Drosophila melanogaster: one gene and its partners. The protein of the gene in region 1 purifies or fractionates together with the protein of each later gene. This does not show direct contact. Each region holds a gene or a part of one and is shown on either strand. Other genes may lie near its edges.

What was found.
Region 2: the proteins of side (region 1) and beat-IIb purify together in Drosophila melanogaster (affinity purification with western blotting; one large-scale study listed by BioGRID). This does not show direct contact.
Region 3: the proteins of side (region 1) and beat-IIa purify together in Drosophila melanogaster (affinity purification with western blotting; one large-scale study listed by BioGRID). This does not show direct contact.

The regions. Positions count from the first base shown.
Region 1 is NT_033777.3:27,432,830-27,440,327, forward strand, and holds the start of side (sidestep), read right to left. Parts: upstream 4,654-7,498; 5' UTR 4,094-4,653; exon of another isoform or gene 3,361-4,093; intron 1-3,360. Other genes in the region: CG44290 (uncharacterized protein), read right to left, coding at 6,133-6,292.
Region 2 is NT_033777.3:17,243,756-17,251,633, forward strand, and holds the start of beat-IIb (beaten path IIb), read right to left. Parts: upstream 4,123-7,878; 5' UTR 3,784-4,122; coding exon 3,516-3,783; intron 1-3,515.
Region 3 is NT_033777.3:17,361,738-17,369,227, forward strand, and holds the start of beat-IIa (beaten path IIa), read right to left. Parts: upstream 4,383-7,490; 5' UTR 4,029-4,382; intron 1-4,028.

The DNA of each region.
Region 1 (7,498 bases):
TGTGTGTGTTTGTTCGTTTTCGGGCTAGCGAGATTTTGATTTCCTCAGCTTGCATCAGTCAAAGCGAAGCATCGGGCGACATTCGAAAAAAGCAAACCCAAATCGAACCCACGAACGCCGGGCGTTTTCAATCTAAATGCAAATGCTAGCGGTGTGCTTTTTGTTTCATCCTTGAGCCGCGACAACAGCAACAGCAGCGGCAGCATCATCCGCAGTAGCAGGAGCAATTCAGTTGAAATCGCAACACAGAAAGCCAATTAAGCGACTCAGACATTAATCGAAGCTCGTTGCAGATATCGCAACGGGAGAATCTCTTATAAAAAAGCAAGGTAAATGCAATTCGCCGTGTTTAATGCAAAAATCGCATTTGGTCAACAGCAATCCGCATCAGTGGAATCGTCCTTTTTGCTCGCACTCCTTTACACGCAAATTTTTTGAGCATCTTTATCAGATTTTTATTGTTATTACTTTATTATAATTATATACAAGAGGATTCTCAAAAGTAAAACTATTTTTAACTTGAAATGAAAAATTATTCGAATTTTTTAAAAACGTATTTTATAATTTATAAGAATTATCATATTCCAAAGTTCAAAGTTACTTGTAAATTTTGCTCTGTGTACTCGTTTTGCCCATACCAAGTCGATGCCAATGTAACTGGATGGCCATGTTAATGCCCATTTCCAATTCAATTGGTAATGTTCATGTTGGCTCCATAGTTTCTATTGCATTAAGGGCCAATAAAAATTTACAAGCAACCTACACGAGATTTTCCCACCGGGGGGGGGGGGGAGGGCTTTTCCTCTGCTTAAGTGTGTTTGACATGAGATAAGCTCGTTTTTCCCGGCTCGCCTCATTTGTCTCGTTTACAAAGGCAGCCCGAGCAAATTGATAAATTATGGCACAGCCGCGGACAACGGCGCATTGAGATCGAAAGCAGACCAGAATTGCCGGCAATTAGCCGAGCAAAGGCAATTAGCATTATGGGATAAGAGGTGCCCGAGCCTAGAACAAGTCCATCGCCATCCAGACACTTGAGTTTTGGAAGCGGGGTCAAGGAATGCCAGATCCAACTGCAATTGAGACGTGTAAGGTCAACGAAAGTCTGGAGCTGGAGCCCACGAAAAGCCCAGGACCATTGATATCGATGCGTATGCAAATCACGACGAGCACTTTGGCGGCATTAGAATTACAAATATCCGTGGAGGGGATTTTCCACATTCGCCGGCCGCAAGGGCGACGATTGCTCGAAAGCTGCGACGTGACAACACGCAAATAAAATCGAAGCCTACCCATCATCCGGCAGATACGGCTCGTGGAAATAGATACAATGTAAATATGCAAAGTCGGGGCAAAATACATAAATCAGCACGTGGGGGCGATTCGCTGTGAAATGAAATGCAAACAGTGGCGAAAACCAAGATGCGGAAGCATAATTGAACTCTAAGTCGGAGCTGCGAAGGCGAAGCTCTGCAGCTCCAGACACTCTCTACTCATTAAAGGCAAATGCAATTTACGCCGATAATTTGCAATAATTTGCATACTACGTGCGGTTGGCGAAAGGGAGAGGGGCGGGTGGTGAGCGACGACATTTTCCGCTGCACCTGGAAAACCGACTCGCACAACCAGCCACCCACCACTCGCTCAATTTTCCCACTCAGCTTAGCCGCCCACGTTGCACTCTACGTGCTCCAGCTTTTTAATTGCACGGCTTAGCCGAGGCGCGTTGGCATTTTGTAAATTTCGTTAATTGGAAAATGTGCCAGGATTCATTTTCATCTATTTCCCAAATGCCCCGAACGCCATGCGTCGTGATCCCGAGCGGTGTCAGCTGGCGAACTCGGCTCAAACTGGATTTATTTTATTGCGGGCTAAATGGAATTTCCAAAATGGTTATCGCCAAAAGCGTTGCCATTCGCTTATCCTGCATGCAGGAGTCTCTTCATTATGCACAAGTCGCTCGCTGAATGTTTTCTACTTTCGGTTGCCATCCTGATTGTATTTATCCATAATATTTATCCATTTTGACGAAGCCCTCGAGGTGTGAAGCAATTGTTCGGGCTGCAGGATTTATTATGCATAAAATTGCAGCATAAAGTCAAATAAAATATGTATTGAAAGTTTTATTGTTTGGCAGCCGTTCTGCAGCAGCGATGCCAACGCTTTTCCCACTCCCACCATTTCCCTTTTCCCGCTCACATATTTGCACATAGTACACATTTCATGCGGAACTGACGCTTGTGTGACGCTAGCAGCATTTTGTTTAAAATTGAATTCCTTCAATGCATTTACCTAAATTTAATTCCTTCTCATGCTGCTGCCCCAAAACTTTCTGTTCGCAATTTTTGCCACGCTCCGCTTCGCTTGGTTTTGTTTCGCTTTGTTCGTATTTTCAACTTTGTGTGGGTGATTTTGAGTTCGCTTTATACCATATATGTACATACATATGTATATGCTCTGGGCTTCTATTTGCTTTAATGAAGCCGAACTCTCTGGACAGGCTAGCATATACATATATGGCATATGGCGTATATACGTGCCGACACTGGCTCAGGATCAGGATCGGGATCCTGGTAGGAGGGCTGTTGGCTTTGCAAATATCCTGCGGCTGTAGCGTTTATATGAGAGCTTATTATTCCCTCTTATATTTTGCCACTGGTTGGAAACGGAGCTGCGCAGTGGATTTTGTGATTTGCTTTTTATGTGTGCCACCATATGGGGCAGTAGCCAGGAATCCAAGAATGGGGCCACGCACATGGAAAACTCCCATGTTGGATGCAAGGCGGCAAGAGGCGCTTAGCGAAATTCATGCAAGGATTTCACTGGATTGTTGCCAAGGTTGCTCAGCTCGCAAAAAATATGCCGCTAAAAAAATGACGAGTGGAGTGAGTGGGGAGCAGGAAGTAGATTTAACGTTTTTAGTAATGGATTTATCAAGAAACCGTAGTTGAAATCTGATTCGGTACTGTCAGGAAAGAGCGAAGTGAATTCAACAAGCCAAATTTAATTGGGTAATAATAAAGAACTGGCTAAATATATGTTATAGTCTAAAAATATAATTCACAAGCAGCAAGAAAAATTCTACCAAACTAATGACTTTCTTGGCCTAATTTGTTTTCCTTTCCTATAGCAACGACATAAATCTCAGCTCTCAAGTGACCATCACAACAGCATTCCACTCAAAGATGAAAATTTGAAAGGCAAACAAATCTGTCCCATAAGCAAACCCCGGCTGTCTGTGGATCCTGGCTAGCTGGCTGGGATCTGGATGGGATGGGATGCAATGGAATGGCATTGCGAATTGAAGGCGCAGCTTCCGGAGCACGGACTTATGGCTACAAATCAGAAGGACCAACTTACCCCCGGCTGCTCTTTGGCTTTCCCTGGCTAGCTAATCCAAAGGACAGAGGAACTTTCAAGGCCTTCCAACTGGCAAGTTTAATTTATGTTTTTGCTTGGCCAACAGATAGAGAGCAAAACTTTTGCTGCTCGCAGCTATTGTTCCAATGCACTGACCCGTATTTGCAAAGATGTCTGCATAAGCAATTTGTATCTTGTATCTACTATCTTTGTATCTTGCGGATGCTCCGATGCACTTTCACTTTGCCCCGCCAGACGATGGCAATTGTGATAAATTATATGCCACGCGACCGATCGGATTGGATCGTTTCATATCAGATGGGAATCATAATCAAAACCGAAGGGGGCAGGCTGTACGGCCGACGAACTGTTGCGCCCACTCTCACACACACACACACTGATATACTCATATATATACTGACCACTACAAATGAAACCGCAGTGTGTTATTGTGTCATTAATTTGTGCGCTCTCTTTGTGTGGGAATACTCCTTTTTATTGCTGCTTTTTTTGGCGCTTAAAGTGCGAAAACTGACTGGAATTAATTGATGATCCGCACGCAGCTGGAGTGCGGTATTGGTATTGTTGGTTGATTGGGAAATGGAAAATCGAAAATGGGAAATCGTTAATGAGGCAGAGTGACGCGTTCACATTTCCATATGATTTAATGATTTACTTCGGGGGTCCTTCTATCTGCTCTACTACGCACTTTTACGAATTTTCCGCAACTCACTTTTCAGTCTTGCTGTTTGTTTGCCCGCACTTGGAGTTTCATTTTCATTCGCATTTTCCGCTTTCGGCTGTTATTGCTGCTCGTAATCCGCTTTTGCCCTAAATTTCGATTTCCTTTCGCTTTTTTTTTTGCACTGCAGTTATTTCGAACTTCGCTTTTTCCAGTTCTCTTCAAGTGTTTTGATAACTTGAGTGTATTATTATTTTTCCGGCACGTTGTGTTAATTCGTTTCTTCTTTTTTTTTCGTTGTTGTCGTTGTTGTTTCTGGTGGGCGGTAGGGGCGCGGCACACGAAACGTAAACGATGCGCAGCACTTACGGCGCTCGAGAGTCACGCACAAATGGTCCGCCGCCGCCTCCTATTCCTCTAATTAGCCACATAAATTGCAAGTTGGCCAGGGCCAAAAGAATTCAAAACACACTGTCTAGAGAATCGCAATCCCTGCTGAGTAGTGGTGGCAATAGTGGCAAGCGCCAGCAATGGCACAGATATATGTAGCCAAACACGCTATCGATATATAGAGCAGCACCCGCACGACGAACCAAACGCTGTGAGCCACGGATAAGAACTAAACAACATTCGCAGCTGCCGCTGCTCGGCTGCTGCTGCTGCTGCTGCTGCATGTTGTTGCTGCCGCTCGTTGCTGCTCGCTGCTGCTGCTACGGGGTAGCAACACATGCCGCATATCATTCACGATTTTTCACTTCGGACGGCGACGAGCTTCGGATCACGAGTCCTGCCGCGCTCTCTCGTGCCGCATGTTGCTCGTGCGAGTCCTCGTGCAACATGCGGCCAGGACGTGACCTTTGGCAACTGGTCGAGTGTTGTTTTGGCTCTCGGGCGCGCTTGCAGCCAATTAATGGGCCACTCGCCATGTGATTTATTGGCACCGCTCATAAGTCCCCCCCCCTCTTTGCCCAGACAGGATAAACAAAAAACACATGCATAATTTCCATAAATCTTTTATGGCTGCGTGTAAAAACTTTCGGCTGGGCCAATTATGCGGACCGAACTAGGCACTAATTTGACAGCAAAGTGCCCAAAAGGCTTTATCCCTCCTTGGGGGTCAGCCTAGGTCAACTCTGGCCACCCTCCACTCCGCCGTCGTTCGAATCGTGTCCATAACTTACCACATAATTGAGTTATCCCCCGGTTAGGGGCATGAACAAGCTTTTGTTGTCGTCCTGGCGAAGGATTATCAATGGCCTTTGAGCATTTACTATCGCCCGGTGGTTTTGCTGCTTGAATTGCTCAATTTTGTTCGGGCTTTGATCTGTCGTAAGCTGTGGGTAATGATGCACTTAGCCATTATTGGTTAATTTTAATTGGGCGTGTGACACGCTTTAGACGCTTAAGAAATGTATGCATGCATGGCATCCTGTTTCAATTCTAGGAGTTGTAAAATCGATTAAATGAATTAATATAAATAATAAATTAAATAAATAAATTCTTAAGTACTCTGGTATGCAAATAAGCAAATCAATATATTTACTTAGGGTTAATAATACGTTGATTGAAAATAAGAACAATTACAGCTTTCCATGGTAAAATGAACTTATTTCCCCTTTTAACTCAATTGCCCTTAGGCACATGCAACATGTTGCTACAACACATAGGAATGTTTCAGAACAATTCCATTATTCCGCTCTCTCGCAGCATTGTTGCGTTCGTTAAGTGTTGAGGGACAATGATGAAAGCAACATTTGCTAAGGAAACACGAATATGTTTTCAAATTGCCACATAAAGAAGAAAAGTTTATTGAATATAATTGGTTCATATTTTTAGAAGTTAAATTTCAAATTCAATTAATATACATCCTTTCTCTTGTTATGTTCTTGCTTTCTTTTTTAATTATAAATGAAACTGAAAACTATAATAAAATAAATTCAACTAGCTTATTTTAAATACAACTTTTTTCCAAAACTTGTGAACTCAGTGAACTCAGCTTCCGGCTGGCCATAAAAATATTCGCCACTGTTGGGAAATGGGAACAGATTGTCGCATGGTAATGCAGTTGCACCTGCCAAGCTGTTGCACCTCTAAGCCACCAAGCCACCCAGGGCACTTCGATGGCAGCTCGGCCTCCACTTTTCCCGGGGCATTAGCCTTTTATGCAGCAACGTTGATGTTGCAGCTTCAGCTGCTCGCCCGCGGCAACCTTCACACCTATGCACATGACGCACTCGTATTGTATGGCCACTGCAGAAGCAGAAATGTTAGAAAATAGAAAGAAAATGGCATAGGAAAAGAAAAGAAAAGAAAAGCGCAAATAGGATCAAGGATAACAAGGGCATAACAAATGCAATGCAGGCAAGTGGCATGGGAGCATTGCAAATGCTTTTAAAGCAATACTTGATGCCAGCTGATTGAGTGACTAATGGGCTGGCTTTTAACCGAAGGAACCCCATAAAGGAAGTTTCATTGGGTCACGATGGCTAATTGGCACGTGCTCGCACCCCAAATGCTCCACTAACTCACTTTTAGTTTCAATTTTCATACAAAATATACATGTAACTGAAATGCAATACGTTTTCACCCCAAAAATTTTAATTCCATTTAGAAAATGACACATATTATTTATATTTTTCAATTAGAAGCTTTCCAAAACTTTCCCCAAATTAAATTTGCTGTAAATTAATCATCATTTCAGATATTTCTTTTCGGTGTGGCTATGACATTTGTGCATTTGTCTTGCAGTGGAAATTTGTTTGCCGAGTGAAAAAACCTAGCTTATTTCATTTTAATTGCTTCACAGTCGCAGGACTCGGCACACACACACACGCGCACTCAAAAGGAGAGAAAGAGGATAAGACACACACACAATCAACTAATGCGGTTGTGTGCCATCCTTTTGTCGGGTTGTGTGTGTGCTCATTAAAAAGCGAGGCAGCTACGCAGAAAAGCGACATTTGCATAAAATGCCACTGTGTGTGTGTGTATGTGTATGTGTCCCGAAAGCTGGAAAAGCGTGCCACTGACACACAACTGTCACTCACACGCACTCAGACACAGGACTCTCCCACACACACAAACAAAGTCAAAACTTGCAAATTTTAATGCATCACAAGATTTCAACAACTTCCCATGTCTCACAAGCCGAAAAATCATCACCAGCAGGCTCGTAGCTTGAAGCTGGAAATAAAGAAAATCTCCCACTGTCATGTCACGTGCCTTTTCCCTTCCCCACTGCCATTTCCATGGCCTCCATGGGTTGAATCTGTTCGAGGCACTCATTAAAAGTGCCTGCCGTTTTGGCCCTGGGGCAGCCAGAGTTTTCTGGTCTAATGAAGTTTCCCTTAAAAGGATGGCCCCCTAATCGGACCGAGACCCCGCTATTTCCAGGGTATGTTTGATGTGCGCCACTTGACTGCCGTTAAATTGTCGTTTCCTTTTTTACGCAGCAAG
Region 2 (7,878 bases), about 10 Mb from region 1:
TTATTGCTAATTCCAGCAGTGAGCACTGTGTCTGAATACTTTTAGAGGATTTTAATGGACTCAAACTCGTCATTACAAATTATATTTGCGGAGCGAGCAGAGAACGTTCATAACAATGTTTTTCTCGATAATGTGGATTAGGGAAATGCTTGAATTGTGATTAGTTATGATTCATATTTTCGGAAGATAATTCAATCACAAGTGGTAATGTTTTTGTTTTCGAACTGAGTGTAGAGAATATTAAATAATTTTATGAATAATTTTGACCAAAATCTGATTCCTCAGCGCGGATATACTTCATTTACTTCCTGTTCGTCCCGTTTTATAAATGTATTTCTGCATTCGAGTAAGGCCTTGTGCCATCAGTTACGAGTTCGTATCTTCTTTAACTATACATGCATATGTGGGACTTTTATCTTCGACTTTTGAGCTTGGTATTTGCATGCGGCCAATAAACATAAAAATGAATGTCAGCCATGTGGGCGACCATTGTTGTTTGGGCCTGTAGGAGATGCCACTTCGATTGCCTCATGTCATATCAATTCAATTATATTTTATATCACACAGTTGGCGCACAAAGCCGGAGAAAAGGCTCCATGCTGCTACCATTATTGCTGACAATATACTTGTAGTATTATAGTTTATGCTTCTCTTTTTGTGGTTTATTATTCTGTTCACACATGTGTGTAGTTTAATTTAATGAAAGCACCTTGAGAGGCTTCAATCGATAATGGCTCTAACCGATCGGAATTATTCGCTTTGTTTCGAGCTCAAGGCGTTGATTACCTCGGCTGTTTTGTGTAAAATTGATTTTGTGGCTAATTGCCCGGCACACACAAGTTGCCTCCTTTTGGACTAATCCCTTATTTTATCCCCAAACATCAGACACACACGTCCAGGTAAACAAAGACAGCCATTCCGCAGGTGAGGTGCGTGTTTGGGTTCTGATAACAAATTGCAGCGAATAGCGTTGGGAATTCGGTCCGATGAAAGTGCGGTGATGAGCCAGAAATAAACCACCGCACGAACCTTTTGTAATTAAATGTTGAAAGCAATTTCACGCCCAAAACCGATTCACGCAAGCAAAAGGGTGTGAGCCATGTCCCTGCTTCCCCCCATGCCCCACCGTGTGCATCCCCTTTAATGTTTTGCGGTGCTTAAATAAATTTCCACAAAATGTGCGTAATTAATGCGGAAATCTCGGCAGGGATTCTGTAAATCACTAGCTATCAATTTGTCTGCCCTGCAATCGGCCTAAGTGAAAATATCACTGCGTTTTAGATACAGTTAACATGTCTAAAATAGGTGCATAATGTTCAATTGCAATTAAGTCGCTCTTAAAGCGGAAATTAGTTTATATTTTAATGAAAAGTGAACCATATTCTATCTTGAAATGTATTGGGACTGTACTAATTTTCGGCAAGTGTTCGTTTCGTCGATTGTTTGCAATTGCGGTCACCACCATGTTGCACGCACAATCTGACGCCTTTCGGTTTTCTTATCGACTGGCAGTGTCCATTGATTGCAGTTCATTAAGCACGCGCAGGCTCACGCATTTTCCATTTCCCTTCATTTTCCACCAACCCCGTTGGGTCACCTTGCTCAACACCCAGCACCCACTCCATTGCGTCGACACCTGATGACTTGGCTCATTAGCTGGGCATCCCGTTCGCACCTTCAGGCACTTGACCATGGCCAGTTGCGTCCTGGATGTTGGACGCTGGAGTCCTCGCCCCTGAGCTGTGCATATATTTTCATAATATCCCCATCTCACCTTCCATTCACCAGCCACTCCTTAAAGCCTGATTCCGCATCTTGGGGCCATTATTGTTGATTGCTTATTCATGCATTCAGTCATTTATTCATATGCCTGAATCTTGGGCGTTGAGAACTTTGCTTGTTTGCCTTGTTATCAAAATTAAACTTTCCACTTTCGGTTCTAAGGACTCGTCCTTCCTCGCTGATATTCCAATCATGGCCACCGAAACTAGCCGAAATTAATTGCGCTGCTCGGGCTGAGTGCTGTTTATATTTTAAATTAATTATAAATATTTATTTATCCTGATTAGTTAAGTGGGCGGTCGGACTGCCTGCTCGTCGGGGGGGCTTAACCAAATTGATTTCGGTTTATTTTAGCATTGGCCAGCGCTTTTGCGGGGCCATCGATTACAAAGCGTTGGCTTTAAAGCCATCCGACCAACCAATCAGCCAGCGGCAATGGAAACTCAATTGCAAGCTGTCCATTACTCTTGGTCCACACTGAGCGGGAAATGCGGTTTAAGAGGAAAATTCTAGATCTAGATTAAATCGAAGCCAAGTTTTGATAACGAACATCGGGTTTCTGGCTCACGGAAAATGTAGTTTATGTCTAATCACTTAAGATGCGCTTTTTCTATGGCTAATATATGTAATATCTATTAGATTAATTAGATAAAAGCAGTGCATTGCTGAATATTAAATATCTTAGGTTCTTAAGCAGTGTCCCCCCTTTTCGCTCAATGTACTCGCATCAGACTCCGCTGCCTTGCTAACCGGATCCATTTTTCCCATCCTGCTGTCTTGCTTCTCTTTGTGGTTTTCTATAATTGATGGCAGCATCAATTCCAAACGAAATAATCAAGCCATACAGGAGGACCACGGAGGATGGGCAAGAGGGCTGGCCACGAAAAAAAGCAGAGCCACAAGTGCAGACGGTACAGTGCAGCACATTCGTGTATGGCCGGCTCACGTAGCCCGATTTGCCATGTTCCTTCGCTGCATACTTTCGTGGGCCAAAGTTAATTTCAGGTTTAAGTGGCAGCAACTGCAGCTGCTGCAGTCGAATTATTGAAGCCAAGCAAAAAGCGAATGGAACGTATGGGACGTAGGGGGAGGGGCAAAAACGTTTAAATGAAAAACACGAGTCAATTTATATTGCGCTGACGTACCGCCCGACATTTTCCAACACCCCCTCACCCAAACTCGACTGCCATTTAATCTTCTTCCATTTCTTGGCGCTATTTTCAAATGTTTTTCTTTGCTGTTTAGCCATTTTTTGCTGCTGTAGCAGTTGGAGCGAAAAAAGAACCCAAAAGCAAGCTTTGTGTGTTGGTTTCCTTTTTTCCGACTGCCCATGTGTGTTTGTCTCTGCTGTTTTTCCTCTCCCTTCTACTTTTTTTTTCCTTTTATTTTTTTTTTGGTAAAGCTGTACAGAAATCTGCACAAAAATGCACGGAAATTCATCTTGATTTGTGTTGAGCGTTTTTATTTATTTTTTTCCGACTCCCCCCGTGTATATCTTTTTCAAGGGCTAAAACTGCAGCACTTTTTTTTATTCAGCACATCTCTATATCACTTTGGTTTGGCGGTTTGTCTTCTCCACTTTATCCCCAGCGTTTTTTGTGCGAGTTTTGCCCTGGGGGCGTGGCGCACTAAATCAGAGACATTTAAGCGCGTTTTGTTAAAAGTCACTTACTGCACTCGACCATGGCTCATTTGCCGCCTTCCACCACCTACCTACATACATATGTACTTACCACAGAAAAGGCACAGTAGCAGTAGCCACTGGATCACGTTGCTGCCGTAGTTGCAACTATAGTTGCTGCTGTTGCTGCGGGTGATTTTTGTGCGACAGCAACACCTACGCACTGCCGTTGTCGCAATCTCTGCTGATGGCAACATGTGACTGTGCATTTCCGCGTTTTCCAGCTTGCAGCTACAGTTGCAAGTTGCTGCTGGTTGTGCTGCCACTGCTGCTGCTGCTGCTCTGAGTGATGTGCTAAAAGTTGATAGTGTCTGCCACATTGTCAACGCGCTTGGACACTAATTAAGTGCGAAACGAATGTCTGCTTGTCTCGGCAAATCCTTGCTAAATTATGCTAATTTATATTATTCCCAGAGACAGACCGCTTGTGTCCGTGGTTCGTTGGTAATTTATACGAATATATTTTTCAAATATTTCTCAGAGTTGGCACACACTTTATTACGTATTTCGATTAGTTGTTTGTGAATTTTCATTTATATTTTGCACGTCAAACTCAAACTTTATGCCCGCCACTATTTCGATCTCTTTCCTCGCGAGATATTCTGTCTCTTTCATCGCCGCGATGCGAACGCGTCACGCAATCGTCAGAATTGCGACTGAATGCTCGAATGTTGCTGCTGTCCGTTGGTGTTGCTGCCGTCAGTTGATGTTGATGTTGCTTTCGCCGCCGCTGCTGTCGCTCGGCAACATGTTGCCTGGAAAACGTCGATGGCTGTTGTCTTGCAGTTGTTCTTCCGCGAAAATGTTTGTCTTTTGACGTTTATGGGGGATTTTAGTGCGCCTCCTAATTACTTCATATGCTGCTCCAAAACTACGAACTGCAATGTCTGGAAGAAGACGGAGGAAAATGCCTCAATTAGTTGTTGACACAGGCAGAAATATTAATTTTATTGCTGTCTCGTAAAGTGCACAAAGTTACAAATAAAAATTCCAGCGATCGTCACGTGCCGCGACCCTTTTCCGGATTGATTTATGCGTTCAGGGACCCGAGATAGCAAAGTATCGCGACCCCACCCTGCCCAATGACCTTTCCCCAATCGGCGGGGGACTAATTAGCAGGCCGTCCACTCGAAGGCATCCAATTTGGATTTGGTTATTTCGCCGGCCGCCAGCAATCGGGTTTTGCATTATTTACGACTTTCCCCAATGCTCAATTATGCGCTTCAATGCAGGAAGCCGCACATTTGCCACCAGTCCTTCAAACTACGAGCATGCCCCTCACCATCCAAAAAAAAAAAGAGTTCTTCTCTGCTCCGCTTCCTGTTTTGGCATTGTTCACCAATTGTTTCAAAAACAAAGAAGGGCATTTTGTCCAAGGCGCACGTAGAGAAAAGGGCCACTACCTAAATTTCCTATTACTTTCTATAGTGTTTTATTAATCGCTTTTCGATGTAAACTAAAGTTAACTGATGACTATTATTAATGTAAACTCCAATAACATAATTTTATAAGTAACATGTTGATGTGTTTTCAATTAACAGAGCTATATTTGCAATGATAACATAACATTCTAGGAAGAAGAAAATGTATAACCTCTGCAACTATTATTTACCCTGTTACCGTTTGCTTCTACTAACATGCTTTTCTCTCAGTGTATGCAAAGTTTGGCTAATTGCTGGGGCAGCATCAGCATTGTTCCATGCATTTCCAGCTGACGGAAAATCGTGCGCTGAAACCAAAAATCACTTCCGCTTGGTCATTGATTGGTGGGTGGGGCAGGGGTAGCAGTGGGTTAAGCCCAGCGGTGGGTTAAGGGGGATATAGGCCTGCACTTCACACATCATTTCCTCTGCTCAACATTTATTATGCCATTTGTGTGAGACCGAATTGTCACAATTAGTCGAGAGGCGGGTGCGAAAGGGATGGATGTTGCGGCTCTATATATAGACCGTTTCCCCCCTGTTTTTTCCACGGCACTTTCCTCCACTTTTCCCACTCGTACTCATACCGAAGTGCCCTCCGATTCATTTATAATATTTTGTCATTGTCTGGCCGGCGTTGCTGCATTTTATTAATTTGTTTGTCATATTTTCACGTTTGTTTATTGATTAAAATGTGTGCACAGGCGTCTGACATTTTCTGGTTGAGCGATGGGTTGAAAGGGGAAGGGAATGGAATGAGATGATTTTGAGTCTGCTGCCAGCCGTTGTTGTTGTATCTGCGGTTCTTTCTGGCTGCTGTAAACATGTGTTGCCGGCAACATTATCACTGCTGTTGCATTGTTATTTTTATTCCCTGTCTGTTTCCACCAACTTCCCCTTCCCCCATCGCTACTCTTCCCTGTAGCGAGAAAGCCCCTGTCTGGTATTTTAAATAAAACATCATTTTTTGTAATTGTTGGCTCGGCGTGAAACATTCTATTGCCCCATCGCTTTCCCTCCCAGTTCTTTTGTTTACCTAGGCTACAGTTGCAAACATTTTCCTTTTCCCCACTTTTCCCCAGCTCATCCCCGTTTGTTTGTACAAATTATTATGAATGATAATTTTGTCTGTCGCATTTTTCATGCATTTTCCCCTCTCTGACGCTTTTATGGCCAACATTGTTGTTTTTATGCCTGTGGCTTTGTTTTATGAATTTTATAATTAATTGTGTTTGACATATTTTATATGCTTGTGCTGCTTTCGACTTTTTTGTGCCTAAATGATTTTACAATTTGATTGATTTTGCCTAATATTTTGGCATTTATCTTTACTGCGAAACACTATGGACAGGAAGGTGATTTTACAATTTATTTATAACATGCCATTAAAAGGTTAAAAGCCGAAAAACGCAATTGTGGTCTGCGTTCATAGCTTTTGCAACTAATGTTCTGTCACCGTCAGTGTATTTATTATAAATATTTTAAATCGAACTTGGTTCTCAAACTCTTTTATAATTAGTAATAACTTACATATATGAAAAACTACAAAAGAACTGTGAACCTAGGCAAAAAACTAATACCAAATGCAATTACGTTGCATTTATAATTTTGGATATTTTGAAAAATTAGCGCTGTTGGCGCATTCCAACGCTTAATTTATAAAATATGTGACAATCAACAATAAGTGTATGCCAATTGTATCCGGCCTACAAAAATAAGGTTGAAATGAAACCAAAAACAAGCGGCTTTGCCTTCCTCCATCTGAATTCCCTGTTTCCCTTGTCACTGTATTTAATTCTATTCATTTTAATTAGCTCTGATACACTTATTGAGTTTAACCTCTGCAGCCCAAACTAAAACAGTCAATGTCGTCAGGACGAGAAACATTTGTATTGTAATTGTCGTTTGGGACGAGTGAATTGCCACATATGTAACTGTGGCTGTAAGCCACTGTCGCTTGTCGCTGGCATATTTTGGCCAAAAAGACAAATGACAAAAGACAATTAGCTAACTGAAGGCAGGAAGCCTCTTAGACATTTGCCTGTGCGAGTTGGTTTTAATTAAAAGCAGATTAGCATTGCGCGTGCAGCGAATTAGCGTGGGAAAAGCCAGGCAGCCAGCCAGTCCAGCCCACCATCACCCACTTTTCACGAAAATTATTGTTCCCCATTTTTTGGAAAAGCGTGGCATGGCACTGAATGGCCTGGGCACTCAAACCCATCCGCTTGTTACCCCATTTCAGGCATCTCGAGCGCATTTGTCTGGAGACATTGACAATGACAGCGGCTCAAGAGTTGGCTGTACAGTACACCCCCCCTGCAAAACACACATCCGCGTGTCTGTGTCTGTGCGAGGTTACTGTCTCAGACAATTGCCGGAATAAAGCCAACGCCATTTGGAGTGCTGGCTCCTGGGCTCGTGGCTTCTGGTTCCCTTACATTTTCATTCCTGCCAGCGCGGCTCTCGTTACTTTTAATTCCAGTACTTGAATGGAACATTTTTATGCACGCTTCTCGCATGCAACACAACTCGAAAATGGGGCTGGGAAAGAAGGGGGTACACTGAAAAAAGTGGATTTTAAATGCGGTTTTGTCAGGATACAGGATGTGTATCTGGATAAATTGAATTTGATTAGGTGTAAGGGTTGCTAAATCTATTAATTTAAGATCAATAATGTGTTTAAGCACAACAATGGATAACTAATATAATATAATTAACTACAATGAAAATAATCCCTATTGAGAGGTAATGAGATTTAGTTCCATTTGTCTCAGTCTTTGTATATGATGATGGGTTGTGGCTAGTTTTAAGCCTCTCATCTTATCTTCGATATGCATTTACTATAAATAATTAAAAGCGTGAGCCACACATGACGTTAAGTGGCAACGAATTTTAATTTTTGTTTCTATAAAAAAGTATTTCACAAGTTTTTAACTTAATCGATAACAAAATATTTAGAATTCACGCACCTAATTAACATATTCTTCTTTAGAA
Region 3 (7,490 bases), about 10 Mb from region 1:
ACTGAAAGCGAACATCTGGACTCACTGATAATCCATCCCAATTTTGTTTGATTTGTCCCTTATTTCCACATAAAATATACGGATATGTAGTCATGTTTCCTAAATTTTCCTCTCTGCAGCGGTGTGTCAAGCTCAATTAAGTGCGAAGACTTGTCAAGGACGAGGCTGCTTTCAGGACAGCCAGGGCATCCTGCAGTTGTCAGATGCTGCTAATGCCACGCCCACTGCATTGGCAGTGAAAACAAAGCCACAGATAAAAGTTGAAAGGCATCCGGGGGCTTTGGAAAAGGGAGAAGGGGAAGCAAAAAGGGGATGTCAAGCAGAGTCTCGGCAATCGCCTTACAAGTGCAATGTCAATTTGTGCACAAAGGGATAATAAGGATTTATGTCAAATGCTGGCGCTGTTTGAGTTTTGCCAATATTTTCACAGATGACTACACTTGCCTCAAGTGAAAATAAAACGCGGCTTAAGCAGCAGTCGCAAAAATAAAATAAACCCACCAACAATATTCTGGGAAAGGACAGACTCGTGTTTCATATCAGACTTCACTGGGAAAATAAGGTAATAATTCGGATTGAAATGGGATATGCCTAAGGATTCAAATGTACAAATTTGTTTGCAACATGAATATCTAAAACGCATTCATTGTGAAATTTAAACAAGTTGGTTTTTATTTATGAAAGGTAATCCGAAAATAACAATTGGTAAGTATGTATTAATGGTTGATAAGAATATGAATAATTTTTCACGAGCACTTCACAGCGCTCATAATCTCAGCTCTTAGCCATCGAACTTTGCACTCAGCCACCTAATGGCTACTTAACTTATTAATTTCCTGTATTAACAACAACCTCTTCGCAAGGAGCTCTCATTAAAACTGCATAAATACACCAGCCAAGCTATCAGAAAGCAATTTTGCCAATAGCTAGCCCCAAAAACCGCCCTCAAAACTCACTTGAAAAGTTTTCAACTTTCCGCCGACAGCAGCAACAACAACAACAACATAAGCAGTAAAGGAAACACTAAGGATACAACAACAATGGGCCGAACAAGCGCAACTTTTTCGAGCAGAGAGCTCAGAAAGTGCGCTTTGATGCTTTTACAAGTTTTTAGTGATTTTTTTATGTAGCCCGCTTTTGGGGCTACACACACACACAAACATAGAGTCGCCCAAACGCAGGCACACATACACACACACACACATACACACCGACAGTCGAGGGACCACCGAAAGCAATCAGTTTGCGGTACACAATGTGGAAAAGGGGATTCCCCCGGCTTGATAGAAATCATGCTGAGTTGTGAAACGTAAAATTGAATTTACTCTGCCGCTCTGCCCACATTACCCCACTCACACCGAGATTTTCCATGTGGCCGACAGTTTTTCACGCTTTTCCCCACCAATTGTGAGCGGGACAAAGTCTGCTGACTGCGTCGACCCGTTCCAGTCATAAATCATTGGGCATTTGCCATATGCAAAGGGCTATTGCTATCACTAAGTCCGGCATTAAACTCGGCTTTGACTTTCATTCACCCAAAAATATAACATGTACAGCTGCGTCCAAAACCCGAGTTATAGTTGGTCAAGAGCTATAATAGGCACGAATCTTTTTATTTTTGCTTAATCAAACTTGGAAATACTGCCAAATTTTAATTCAGATTGAGATAAGGATTCTTTTTCCCTTAACTTCTAATCCTTTGCTACTAATTCTTTTACCACTAATATTTCAAACAGCACTGTAGATTTTCTCACCATCGATACCCTTATCAAATGTACAACGTTTTCCTGGTAGGTGAAATTTGCTGGTTTTGCAAAAACAAAAGCTAATGATTTAGTCTATGTAAAATGTATATCTCAAGCCAAACTCTGCATGTAATCAGCTTAAAGTAGCCCAATGGAAGTGATTCAATTGAATCCGGACGAGTGGAGTTGAGTGAGTTGTCGACTGTCTATTGTTGTCTGTTCGGTTGAATTGTTCATGTAACTGTTGCGGTCTTGGCCATGTTTGCAGCCATTCCTGTTTATTTAAATGTAATTAATCTCAGTAGAGCTCAGACTTCGGACTGGCCGCAGATCCAGCTTTATCATCTCATTTGGATTCAGGTTGGGGCTTAGGCAATTAGTTGCCAGCTAAGTGGGCGCTGTTGAAAGTGGGCGGGGCCAGCGGCTCCTGTAAAATCTCATTTCCCTCGGCCCGGCAGGATAATCCTTATTTGGCTCTACAAGCCGTTTATGTTTAGTTTTTGGACCCTCATCTCCAGCGCCAGGGGAAATGGTATCTTCATAAACAATATAGATAAGTGAATAATCAGCAGTGGCCCACAGCTGGATGTTGAACAAGAGATGAACGATTAGTTCTGGAGCCCACTCATAAATAAGTTGTACTTCTGCAAACACCTTTCTAGATGTTTTAATTAAAAGTGCTTGTTTCTTTAAACTTGATTAAACTTAATTATAGCACACAGTGTTGCATCAGTATATAGGATTAATATATCTATTTTTTATTCATGGTGGGGAGTTTCTGATTATTCCATTTAAAATCCTTTTCCTTGCGTTCCATTTTTGTATCTGAAATGATTTTTTGCCAACGGTTTTGGCTTTAAAAGCGAACGCAATCTAACCGGCCCCAGTGTAATTAATCCAATTTCGTTGTGCGATATTTCACACTTAAAAATCAAACTCTGGCAATTTGTTACACTCCCTCGCACGCACCCGAGCACCCGAATCTGAACCAGGAATCCAACCCAAGCCCAAACCCAAACCGATGCAGAATACGAGCCAACGATACACATGAGACGACGCCGCTTGAAGCGTACTGAAGTGGAGCAAATGGTGAACGGAGATGGGGCGGATCGGATCGAATGGGATGGGATCGGGCGGGCGTTTGGTTGGTAGTACGTGAGCCCCGCCAAAAGTTGCGCAAATAAATGGCAGTGAAATTTTATAGCACACTTGATAATTTCAGCAATAATTCAGAGCGGCTAATCACCGCATAAATAATCTTAAGGACAGCCCTGCTAAGCTCCACTCGCCACAGCAAGTACATCGGACCAATGCGCATATATGCGCCCGATTTATATGTACTCGTATTTATTTGTCTACTTCGCACTGACTGTGCACAGTGCATGTGACGGTAGAAACAAAAAACAAACTAGGGGGAAAAACATCCAGAGACACTTGGAGACAAAAAAAAAAAGAACAGAAATTGAAATAGGAATAGGAATATATATGTACTCCGATATAGAGAAGTGATGGCTAAGCGGCGGAACAGAGAAGCAAACACGGACCAGCAGCATCCAAAACTCATGAAATCGAGAGCTCGCTCGAATGGAACGTGAGCGAAATTTTTGCTAACGAATGTTGACTCTGCCAAAGTACTAAAATCAAATAAAGCCAACAGCTACAACCAAAACAAAAACAGCAAATCAAACAAAATCAACAATCACTTGGTAGAAGTTAGCCCAAGTTGATGAAGACAAACGCTGGACTGCGCCAAACGGAGACGAAGTTTTCGGACAAACTATTCGGTCATATTACAAAAAATTAATATATAGATATAGAGCATCGCCAACTTGTGGATCAGTCAGTATTTAGAAGGAGCAAACAAAAGCCGTAAATCCATAAAATTAACTTTCAGCTGGCAAGTCACGGTTACGGGGTCCCAACTCAAGATCCTGTTTTTGGTATTGTCTGACTGTCAGTCTGTCAGTGGAAAAACAACGAGGACCACAAAAATGTAGGTTATACACATACACACACACACAAATACACAAGCTCACGCATACACACAAATAAAATAGAAGGAGATACATTGCGTATACGCCGCATGTGCCACGCGAATAGCGGAAAAGAAATAAAAGGCAGAAAAACAACAAAATAAGAAATTTAATGCGAACGCTGCGTGAACCGAAAGTTTAAAGCCAACCAAATGGCAGTCAGGATGGCAATAATTTGTATAACTTTATGACGGCACAGGATCTAAGACTCCTATGCCCCCGAAAAATTAAACTTGCTTGAATAATTTACCAGCAAATTCGCAGACTCCAACTCCAAGCGTGGTGGTATCACTTGATTTTATTTTTCGAGTTTAACTGACGCAATGTTTGAACACTTTTCAACCTAAGCACTTTTCCTTCGAATTGTTTGAACTTGATTATATCAGCGAGCTTTGCACTTTAATGTATTTCCTCTATGGGGCTAACATTCACTCTCATATTTCCTTGGGTGTTTTTGTATTTTTTTCTTATTTTTTATGATTTTTGTTTTTATTTTCCGCACCAAACAATTCGCTGGCCAGGCTCGTGGAGCACGGCGATGGCTTCCACTTTCCACTTTCACTGCCAAACCGACCGTTAAATTCAACGTTCGCCACGCATCTGACTGATTTGCTCGCTGGCCATCAGATATGCACGGAGGCTGTGTACACGCACCCAGAAATCGGAGTCGGCATATTTCGTCACCCGAACGACGTCCTCGCCTCCATTCGTGGGCATTCGTGGTCTCCGACTCTCGTTTCCGGACGGATTGTATAACACTGGGCCGTGATTTTGAATCGGCTAAGAGAGAATGTCCCTGGAATTCGCCGTGTTCGGTGCAAGCCTTTCTGAGTTACCTATGGTCATGGTTAAGAGAATTATGTCTGTGAAGAGAATCTCGGAATCAGCTGAGCGTAGAACAGTTATCTGGGCGAGGGAAAGGTCCTTCATCGTCTGAGGATAATAGTGGGAGCAGACTTTTGAAATTAACAGCTGTTTCTGTTGAAGTGCGCAGAAGCAGATTAGGTATAAAAACAGTAAAAAATAGTGGTAACAGAACAAAAGCTGGTTTTTGATAACCGTATAGATAGTAATATAAAGGCAATCAAGATTCGCATATGCACTTTTAGTGCGAAAAGTTAATGCATTATAATTACATACCACAAAAAAACGTGAGAATCATCTTATAGTTGTTCCATACTATTTTAGCGCCTTAATTTCGTTATTTTTATAATGAGAATGTTTTGAATTTGCCAAGCTAATGAATTTCCGAAATATTAATCCCAATTTACTATTAATTATGCAAGTGAAAATGGCTGGCAGTTTCTCATATCCAATATTAAGTACCTTTCCCAGAACGATGCACTCATAAAACAGTTCCATGCCCCCCAACCACCCAATCACCAAAAACTCTGTTCGCCGTTCTCGGGGCACTCAAATAAAAATGATTGTGCGAAAGACGTAAAGCAAACAGCCAAGTCACAGATCAATATAATGAACCACCGAAAACCAAGCCAGAATCCGCAACAAATTGCCGGGGAGTCGGAGGCTAACGCTGCAGTGGCTCAATGTGGATTTTGATTTAAGTTTTAGCACTGCCGCGCACTTATCGAGCAATTGAGGAACAGGAACTGCGGGGGACAGGGGATGTCATATGCGGCATTCCAATGAGAGCCGAAAGTTATTTGCAATACACGAATACGAATACGAATCGATACGATATGGCCACCCAAAGTTGATATATGTGCGGCGAGCTGGTATCATCCCAAAGTGCACATCATGATTTTATTAAATGGACTCTGATGTATTTATTGTCCAGCAACAACGTGACTTGTGAATTGATTTCATTAAACTGAAAAAGTTAACAAAGCATCGCAGCTCGGCCCCGGCAACATTTTTTGGACAAAGTTGCCCAGATACCCGGATCGCCGGATAGCCATAGCCATAGCCATGGCCGTGCAGTCCGGCCGTATATCGCCATATAGATAAATATTTTTTTATAGCAATATGTGCGAGTGTGTGCTGGCTTAAGGACATCTATCGTTAGTGGCCAGGAGTGGAGACGAAGGATGAGTGAGCCTCAATGACCAATGGCAACAGCGGCGCGCATCGAGCGTGGAATATCAATGTAGTCGAGTGGCCAGGAACGGAACCATCACCAAAACGAGCACCATCCAAATTCAACCAACTGGCTGCCTGCCTGACTGACTGACAGACTGACCGAATGTCAGTGTGGTCCTGGCCTGCCATCCTGGATGGTTCTTGGCCCGAACTGCTTTTTGTTGACCGCTGTTCGCCACAAATTGCCAAATTGTGTGAGTGTGCGGCTTTGGCTTTGGCTTTCGATTTGGCTACGGCTTTGGCCAGTTTCATTTTGTACAAATAATGATGATAATGTTGATGCGGCTGTTGACTTAACGCACATAACGCTGATTAGCCACATAGTCCGAGAAAGCAATAGCATTCCCCATATGCTCTGGGTCTTAATTGAAGTGATACCAATTTAGCCCCAGATTCCAGAAATGGTACGCATATATAATGTATTCCACGTCCTATAAAATGCTAAGAAAATATGTGAGTAGTTCATATCATTCATATCGCACTTATATATCCTTTAAATTGATTATATATTTTATAGTTTTCTATAGAGTATATTGTGTAAAATGAAACAGTTTTGAGACTCTATGGGTAAGATAATAATTGCACCTGTCAAAATCCCCATCCACTTTTCTATACTTATTTTCTCTTGGGATACCCTTGGCATGCGATTGCACTTAAACAATTTCTATTAAATGCGCTTTTAATTGCAGTCGAGGGTATTCTTGAAACATTTCAATGGCAACGACTCCGGCCAACGCGGCGTATGCGCGATGCTCGAATAAAAGCTAATTTCAGCATTAAACAAACGCCGCCTCTTGCCCTTCTAAGCACTGCGAATTATACTTGAATAGCGAAGTGAAATGGGAAATGAAAAATTGCCAAGTAGAATGGAGAATGTTTACAGCGGACAGACGCCGCCACGCCCCTTCACTCAACGAACTCCCACTTTCTCCTAGCCGCTTCCTTTCGCTTCTAGCCGCTTTGCTGTTGTTGCATTGTAAGTTGTCCTGTTTTATAAATGTTGGCGGCAAGAACCACTTACATGAGCCATTTGCATCATATTTCTGTTGTCATTTGTTGACATTTTACTTGCCTTGTCCTCCCAGCATGTGTGTGTGTGCAGACACTTAATGTGCAGTCATTATTTTCCAAGAAACAAGCTCAGTAGCAAGCCAGCGGAAAAACAACAACATGACTACAAAAACGGGGGAGCACAGTGCAAAGGCAAAAGGCAGCAGAGCAATAAAAAACCAAATGTAAAAACGTTTCACATATAAAGCGGAAAACAGCACTGCTGGAAAATTCCGAGCCTTGGGTTCCGAGAATTAATCTATCTCTATAACGTTGAAAGTTTAAGCAAATTAGATTACTGAAATAGTATTGAAGTACCTGATATAATAAGTTCATTATCTAAAAAATAGTTTGATTTCAAAAGAGTGTATATGTTTATATTTTCACTTTTGCACAATGCACTTTTCTTCAGTGAAGTGAATAAAAATATGATGCCACCACCCACAACCACTTTGACAAGCGAGCGAGAGAAAGAGAAAGGGCGAGAACGGGAGACAGAGACAGAGAGGCCAACAGCGAAGGAAATGAGACAGCAGCGGCAAGGGTTCATCATTGTTTGCCT